Linked DNA regions of Oryzias latipes. The protein of the gene in region 2 interacts with the protein of the main gene of each other region in a biochemical or structural test. Links are inferred from orthologs where the notes say so. Each region holds a gene or a part of one and is shown on either strand. Other genes may lie near its edges. The genes, in order: mark3 and ksr1.

Region 1 (4,409 bases), on a different chromosome or scaffold from region 2:
TTTTTGGGCGCACCGGTACGACCATGGATTTTTAAGACGGACCATTGAAAAATCCAGTTGCACTTTAGAGCGCTGGCTCCATATTCACATCTATTTGGATCATGAAATACTCAGAAATGCAGTTAGTAGAATGTTCTTTTTCTTTATTATGTCCTCTATCGTGAGAAAAAGACTGCATTAAAAACACCCAAATCACTATTTTCATCAGAGAGGGTCTTCAAGATCGGAAATGCAACATCTCTTTAGAGCTCAAGGCTGAACTTAGTGTGATGGCAGTCTGGGGTCTGGGGTCCAGACCGGGGTAACTTCTTGCGATTTAGTTCAGCATTTCGGTCTTGTGAACCTAAAGGTACTTGTTTACCTGTTGGAGGGTTAACACTTGGTCTCCTCAGGTGGAGACGTCGGTGGGCGTCCATCGTAGTAAAGGTGACGTTCCTTAAATCTGCTGTTTTGCGTCTTCAGGTGGTGTATTCGTCCTCCGCTCGTGAGCTGAAGGTGGAGACGGTCAAACCAGAAACACCCGAGAAGGAGGAGGATGACATTGACATCGATGCAATCTAAGACGGATGTGTATGCTGATGCTGTGACTCATAACGCTCTGTATGACGTATGGAATAGTTTGCCTTTTGCTCCTTTACTACATTTCCCAGACTCCCTTCTGCTTTGTGGCATGATTTCTGTAGCGCTTTTCCTGCTGCACAGTAACTGTAATCCTGACATGTACTCAGTTGACTAAATGAAATTGCTCGGGGGTTAATCACAAGTGTTATGGGGATCATTTTGATTTGCATCTTTGTTTTCTCCTTTGTTTTGGGGAAAGGGAGGTGCTTGTTGTATTTTTCCAGTCAATAAAAATGTTTTGCTATCCACCACACTGTTGTCTTTTCTAAAGGATGACTTGATGTAAACGGTGCTGTATGTATTAGTTAATGCAGGGAAAACAGAACATCGGTTCTGAAACGCTCAGTTTTGGATCAACCTAGACTCTGGGTTCGCATAGAGAAACGCCTTGGGATTGTCAGATGCTAGGGACAGGAAGCTGGTGTTTTCACGCGGGCTTTACCTTCGTGTGCGTCATCCACACCCCTTTTGAAGTGAGTCACGAGGCAGTTTCCTCTCGGCCCGCCGAGGTTCTGGTCGGGCTCACCGGTCCAGTGGGACCGAGGTCAGTAAGTTTTCTCTGCCCGCTCAGTAAAACATGGACGTGGTGCCTTCAAGTACCGTCAGGAGCGCAGAGATTGCATTCAAGTTAAAAAACGTTTTCACATTTTTGTAAACCATTTTTCTCATCAAATTAGTTCAACTGCAACGTTTTTCTAATTAAATTAATGATTATTTTGAAGGGCGAAAAAACAAATACACCACTGACAACAGTTAAAATGCATATATTTTACTTTGTGTGCTGATTATATGTATTCCGTATTTTCACAGAAAAATGCCACTTGTAGTGGGAAATCGTGCTGAATTGGTGTTTTTTAACCCTTCGGAGATTCACGGTTTAGTTATGTCTGACGGTGCAATGGGTCCGTGAACGCATCCTAATCCAGCCCAGCCGCTCAGTAGCCATTTTGGTCCCACCTAAAACAGTCCGAACTGCTTCACTTTAGTCCGCAGGAGATGGGAGAAACAGAACAGACTGCGGGTGTTTCAGCCTTCCGGGGATTTACCTTCTCTCTGCCAAACTCCTACCAGTGACCCTATATCGGTTCTGTTTAATCCGAACTCGGTTTGCGGGAAAAGGGAAGGTTCGGCTATTTTTGTACCGACCGACACAGTCACACAGCGCCTTCGCGTTAGTTTAGTTAGCCTCACTGACTCTCATGGACACCGCTTTTCCTGTCGGGATGTGTGGATCGGACCTCACCGGCCTGCAGTGACATGTAACCACTGAAAAGCAGACCGTACCGCTCCGTAGTTTCTTCTTTTTTTTTTTTCTTTGCTCTTCCTGAGAGCTCAGGTGCTCGGCACAAACACGTCCGGTCTGCGAGAGTCGTCACGATCCATGCCGAGACCGTTTTCCGGAGAGAGCTGCAGAGCGAATTAGGGTCTGTTGGTTTTGGGAGGTCGGGCTGGCGTTTGGACATCGGAAAACAAGAGTTTTGAAGGAAGACGGCCGAGAAGATGTCAACCAAAACTCCCTTACCCACGGTCAACGAAAAGGTGACGGAAAGTGTGAGTAGACGGGCTCTTCTGGTCACGTTCAATCGGTCAACTGCCTGAAAAATGGCTGTCAGTCAAAGATACGCGGCAGCCCAATCACTTCATTTCTTTATTTTCTGACCGATGGCTTGTTTTACACCCGATGTACTACTTTGTGTTACATGGTAAACAAGCTGCCTCTCCGTCAAACACGCCCTGCCTTTAATTTATACCGGCGTGTGAGATAAAAATAACACAACACTTGGTTCTTGCATGAACTGTAAAACATCTGCCTTGTTGTGACTTTTTATTTGGTGTTTAAGCAAGCAGCTAAGGCCCAAACACGAGCTGAACTACAGTACTTTGCCTGCTGGACTGGTTCTGGCAGGCAACAGTAGTTTCCGTCCCGGACGCCAGTTGGCCTTTGCAGCTGTCAATCACGACATTTTATCCACTCAGATTTCAAAGCGAACCCTCGTAGCTCCGCCCCCTGTGACAAACAGTGCTCTCCTGCTTGAAAGGAGGTCGTCGAACTGCTGGCAACATGACTCTGTGGGCTTCCGGTTTGTGCTATCAAAATAAAAGAATATTTAATGAAACTAGTTCATAATTTTGTTGTAATTAAAAACGGGTCTTATTATTACAATCAAAGAATTCCCAGAGGATTTGTAATATTGCACATTAATGTTAAAAATTTGCGGTGCACATTTTGTTGACCGTGGCTTCTTGTGGTGTTTGCTCTTTTACAATGTATGATTTTTGTAAGTAGACCTCCTGACGCCTTGAAGAGTTACTTCAACACCTGATTGACTGACGTCTTTAAACACAACACCTCTGTTTAAACAGCCTGAGTAAATAACTGGGAGAGGAGGATTTTAGAGTAGCTAACAGCCAATCTAGTGTTTTAGTGAGAGTCCTATTGAAGCTGATTTAAAATTCAATTTTAGAGACTGCTTAGTTATCTCAGTGTCTGAACACCGCTTCTACTTTACTCAGCTGTTATTCGTTTTCCTTGTTGGATGATTTGTATTGTAGCAGTAATTGCTTTTGTAGGAATTTTGTGAGAGTTTTTTTAAGTCGTGTAAAGTTGTTACTCAGCTTCAGGAAGTCCCTCAGCAGCAGAAAAACCCTTTCCTTACATAGGATCATGTCCAGGGACAGAGGAATGGCCTGTCTGCTAAAGTATTGGACAGGATAATTATCTAACAGTTGATTTTAGTGTTAATTAATAGTGGCTCTTCTGAAAATAAAGATATAGAATCGACATCTGCATATTTCTAAGTGATTGTTTTGAGGGGGAAAGGAGGCATTTTGTGAAGCAGGCAGATTTCGAGTATCATACATCCATACATTCTGTCCTTCCCCGTATCATGTTGTCTAAGCCACTGCAGATGCCTGATGTCTGCATGTGATACGGTCCGTCTCATGACTCGTGTCAGCTGCAGCGTCTGCTGGAGTGGAGCACAAACAGCTCAGAGGGCGATAAGATGAGGTGAAACTATTGATCCTTTGTTGCTCAGTGTTCTAATGTAAAGGATGACTAGTAAAGTCCCCACTCCGATCACCTTTTGATCCGTTCTAAAGCCGATCCCAGTGCTCTCTCAATTAGGATGATCCAGTTTTCTGAAAAATCATAAAACTTGTTTTCTAGGACATCATTTTTTTTCAGAGCAGCAGGAGTTCCTCAGAAATTCACCTCTGATTTGTGGGCGGGACCGTTGGTGCAGAGTCCTGTTTGTTTATGTGCAGATTCCAGCTCAGACCAGAAAAACAAAGACATTCACCGATCTATTTGTCTGACAGTGGATGATCAGAAAGGGGCGGAGCAGGGAGAATTTGGCCCCGCCCACCGTAGTTTGTACGTTAAGACTACAACCTTTTTCAAACAACATTATTTCTTTAATCTAAATTTTCTTAATAAATGTGCTCCATCATTAGAAAAAAGCCACACGAACGTGTTAAAAACTCCATATTCATCGGAGTGGGTCTTTAATCAGGAGTATAAGCAGTTTGAAGAATATCTACAACTTCTGGTAACAGACAGGCGTTTACCTTTTAATGTGTATTTTTTTCTATGAAACGGGGATGTTCAGATCAGAATCCCAGGCTTTATTTTGAAAGGACGGCTGTTCCCTGCTTGCCTGCAGCAGGCTGAGCTTCATCAGTGCTCCTCTTCCTCTCTGTGCTTGTGGGGCTCTGGTCTGTGCGGGGCTGTGGGCATCCTCAGAGGGCAAAGTGCCGTCCTGTGGAAAACATGACGGGCTCTCAGG
Region 2 (4,485 bases):
CCAGGGAGCATGACACAAGATCATCATTGCCTCTCGTTGTTCTGAGGGTGTCACTTTCCCCTACGTGGATCATAATGCCCTCCTAAGCTGACAACAACAAGACAACAAATACAACTTGCCAACCCCCCCCCACCTAAAGAAACAACAACAATAAGGCGCATTTGAGATCGTATTATGTCGCCGTATAGATGAAACCTAAACCCTGGGCTTTCTGAAACATTAGTTTTTAAGGGCAACTGTATAATTATTAATAGGGGTGTTGAGTTATCCAGAAATAAAACAGACATGGATAATTAATAGCCTCTAGTCAATCAGAGTTGGGATACTTATTTAAGCCAAGGTATAAGGCTTAAATAAACAATGAACCAGGAAGCACACTTGTTATTCATAAGGCTGTTGAGTGCTGAAAACTCCAATATTCCAATTTGTTTCATATGTGTTCAGGTTTTACCCCTGTTGTCTTCATACATAGTAAATTGCATACACTTATATACCCCCTGCTACCTTCTTAGCAGGCCGCAAGGCACTGTAGAGTCAAAGTCCTATTAACCAATGCACAGACTAATGGTGGCCCTACTGTCGAACACTGGCGCCAACCTATAACCACCAGGACCAATGCGGGGTTCAGGGACAATTTGACAACCTATAACCACCAGGAGCAATGTGGGGTTCAGGGACAATTTGACAACCTATAACCACCAGGAGCAATGTGGGGTTCAGGGACAATTTGACAACCTATAACCACCAGGAGCAATGTGGGGTTCAGGGATAATTTGACAACCTATAACCACCAGGAGCAATGTGGGGTTCAGTGACACTTTGACACAGGCGGATAAGGTACCTGCGAACCTGCGATCTTCCGATCATAGGTCAACCGCTCTACTTCTGCACCACAGAGGTGTAAAGCATTGAGCCTGCTTATTATTAGGTAATATTGGTACGCAAAATTTTACGCCATGTGGAAAATGAGTTTGTTTACTTCAACTGCAAAATACATATGGAGCAATTTCTTTGCTTGGACATTTCCAAGATACTTCCTGGTGCTGAAGACTCTTTCACCAAGCCATGTCAAGACATCCGAAGATGGGAAGAAATCTGGATCAGGAGGACTTCTAGTTGGCAATAAATTGAAAAATGCATTTCAAAGTCTTGGGTTTGTTTTGGGCTATGTCTGAATTCCCTCTCTCTAACTAAAAAACTATCTAGTGTGGGACTATTTTAGTGCCCTGAAAGCAATTCAGACACGTTGCTCACTTTTTTTTTTTTAAACGGCAATTATGACGTCACTGATTTCACAAAGTGAAAACATAATCAGCAAGAACATTTTATGACAGCTATTTATGAATCCACTGTGTTCTGATGATGAAAACGTTGATGGCTTATTAAAAAAAAACATACATTTTTCCCACAAAAATTGTCTAAACGCATTGTGGTCAACACACTGCGATCTAGTGTGCACCAATGCACACTGGTTTTTCACAGAGACTTCAGAGATTTCTAGGGCACTGGATTTTGGAATTGTAGATTCAGACAGACCTACTAAACTGGTGAAAGCACTAAAGTGTAATGTGTAGTGAAGAAATTCTGACACAACCTTGTAGTTTGTCGCATAGCACAGAGGGTCACAGAGCTGCACATACAGCAACATCAGTAATAGCAGCAGCAAACTAATCGTAAACCAGAAATCGTAAATGGATAGTAATTGCAATATCGCCTATGCAACACAGGTATAGCAAAAGTTGAGATAAATGGTTACTTTAAATTTTTGCACACATGCTAAAGTAATCGTATGGCATCTTAAAGTATTTAACAAATTTAATTGAGCCCCGGCTTAATCAGTCTAAATATTACGTCATGCTTGCCTCTTATATAGACTAGGGTCATCTGGAGTTTAATTTAATTTATGTGGCCTTTTATTTTAATAAAAGTGTTGAAATGGAAATTATGTATTTAGTTGTTTAGCTTTTTTGATGCATCACCAGTCATATCGTCGAAATGATCATTAAAATCGCACATCACGAGTTGCCAATATATCGTGCATCCGATTATTATTGAATGTGTGCCATTAGGCCAGGCACACACAGGAGCCTCCCCCTCCTCCTGACAAATGACAGAGATGGAGGGGTCAGGCAGTGGAAGATAGATCCTAGGCACCCCCGTTTGGGAATGTTCTAGACCCGATCGCGCTCTCTTGTTCGGTCCCCCTCGGCTCACTGAGCCTGCAGCTCGTACATTCAAGCGGATGCGGCGCGCAGGCTTCATGACTCCGCAATTTGACGGTGTCTCAAGACAGGACGCTGCATGCCATGACAGATCGGGAAGGCTGCTTACCTCTAAAGTGCGTATTTCTTGCTGCGTAAGGTCGTTGGAGGCTGCGCACTTAGTCCGTAGCCCCTGTAAACTGGAGATGGAGATATCAATCATGTTCTGGATGAGTTCGCACTGATGCAGTGCGGCCATCGCCACGCCGCCGCCGCCGCTGCTGCCCCTTTCCGGCTGTTCATCACTCTCGACCATCCTCCCACCTCTGATAGACACACTATCCATTCCTCAGCATTGGGCTCGGATGGAAGGACTGGGGGGTGAGGGGGAGGGTGAGGGGGGGTCAAACCGCTAAGCTCAAATGAAACATATGCAGCGGTCCAGCGACGCAGCGACCTGTCGTAGGAAGTTAGCTGACAGCAACTGTCTCCAGGTCACGGTGTGGGGAGAAAGAAAAAAAACAGTCGAGGTAATATTTGATTTAAAAAAAAACGGCGTGTTCGACCGTGAACTGGGTCGAGCAACTCGGCGAGGTCCGATAAGGCTTGTATTCTCCGTCCGTGTGGGCTTCCGACGAGAGGATACACACTAGCTTCCACCGAAGGCTCTGGCGGAGGCTTCAACGTCTGTCAGCTGTTGGGAACATCATCGAGCGCGGTGCATCCTGGGAAATATAGTTCGATATGTAAACGTTCAAAGAGCCACATCTCTACTTCAAAAAGAGAAGAAAAAAACAACCTTTCAGTTGTTTAAGCAATATGACATACAGTTTTAATGATCATGACTTGTTTTAAATACAAGTGTTTTGTTTGTTGTCGGCACATTTGTCATTTTAAAAATACTATTTTATAGATATTATAAAAGTAGCAACACATAAAGTAATACCCTCTGTGATAATAATCATTTATTCAAACCTTTTCATTAAGGGGAAAACAACAATCTCCATTTGACAGACCTTAAGAAAAATAACATGTTTGAAAACGATAGGCAGAAGCGAAGCCTACTCCTTAAGACCCATTCAACTTTAACAACAAAATTTAAAAATATATATTTCTTATCTATAATTCCCCATCAATCACATTATAAATAAATACCAGACATTCATTAAAATCATCATGGGGCTCAGACAAAAGCAATCAATGACCTCATAACCATTCTTATCTGTTGAGTCTTAATTTAAAGATTGAAAATCCTCTCTTTGTTAGATTTTACAAATAAAGGATGGGTGTGTTCATACTAGTCATTAGCTTGGTGATTTGTTCTTATAGCCCTTTTTTGTAGTGTATACCAAGGACAGATAGTAGATTTAAGTGTGCTTCTCCAAACTTAAGTACAATATTAAAAATATGGAAATATCAGAGAGCCCAGAAAAAATGCTTTTCCCTGGATAGTCAACTCCATTTGAAAAAAATAATTGTAATTTCAAATTACCTGACTATAGAGACTGTTGCAAAAAGGTTTTCTGATTTTTTTAATATTCCAAAATACAAAATTAAAAAAGAAATAACAAAAAAGTATTGCAAATTTAAAATATATTGTATCTAGCTAAATGATTCAGTTCCCTTAAAAGATTTTAATATTTTTTTTTTTTTGCAAATATCTGTGTATTTTTTGTGTGTGTGTTTTTTTGTCTGTCTCGCGTGACCTGTTGGTTGTAAAGTTTTACCCAGCAGATGTTTAAACCTTCAAAAGTAGATCATATCTGTTTTGTCTTTTCCTACAATTTAAAAAGAGAACATTTTTGGCCAAGAAATTAGAACCAAAACACGACGGGTGTACTACCATCCTTTTAAGCACCATTAGAACTCCTTTTAAGACAGAATTTGGTTTAATACTAATATCCAAATCCTTGTATTTAAATGTCATTTGGATTCAAAGTAAATGTTGCCACGGAGGATTCTTCCATTAATGTTCGAAAATTTGTATTTGCTTGCATCAATAATTTCTTCAAATGTAGTCAGATGACTTGAATGTGTAGTCTTTCTGGTCTTTAGATTTGTAACCAGACCTCATTTGTTCCTCAAAAGCTTGAACTTTATTGCCGTTTCAGCAAACGGCCACATTGAATCACTTCTCTATAGATATGGTTTTTATTTAGCTTGCAGTGAATTGCAAGAATTTTTCAGACCTTGGCAAAAAAACAGATATTATCAAAATAAAAGACTGGCAACGTCTGTTGTAACTTTGTGAATACACGAGGTCATTGGATTCCTCAAGACTTTT

What was found.
Region 1: of the proteins of ksr1 (region 2) and mark3, one has a biochemical effect on the other in vitro, tested with the Homo sapiens proteins (2 studies listed by BioGRID). The link is inferred for Oryzias latipes from reciprocal best matches to the Homo sapiens genes KSR1 and MARK3.

The regions. Positions count from the first base shown.
Region 1 is NC_019880.2:21,349,593-21,354,001, reverse strand, and holds the start of mark3 (MAP/microtubule affinity-regulating kinase 3), read left to right. Parts: upstream 1-1,547; 5' UTR 1,548-2,121; coding exon 2,122-2,172; intron 2,173-4,316; exon of another isoform or gene 4,317-4,393; coding exon of another isoform or gene 4,394-4,409. Other genes in the region: eif5 (eukaryotic translation initiation factor 5), read left to right, coding at 463-561. UniProt on the Homo sapiens protein: Serine/threonine-protein kinase. Involved in the specific phosphorylation of microtubule-associated proteins for MAP2 and MAP4. Phosphorylates the microtubule-associated protein MAPT/TAU. Phosphorylates CDC25C on 'Ser-216'.
Region 2 is NC_019872.2:17,303,948-17,308,432, forward strand, and holds the start of ksr1 (kinase suppressor of Ras 1), read right to left. Parts: upstream 2,922-4,485; 5' UTR 2,548-2,921; coding exon 2,332-2,547; intron 1-2,331.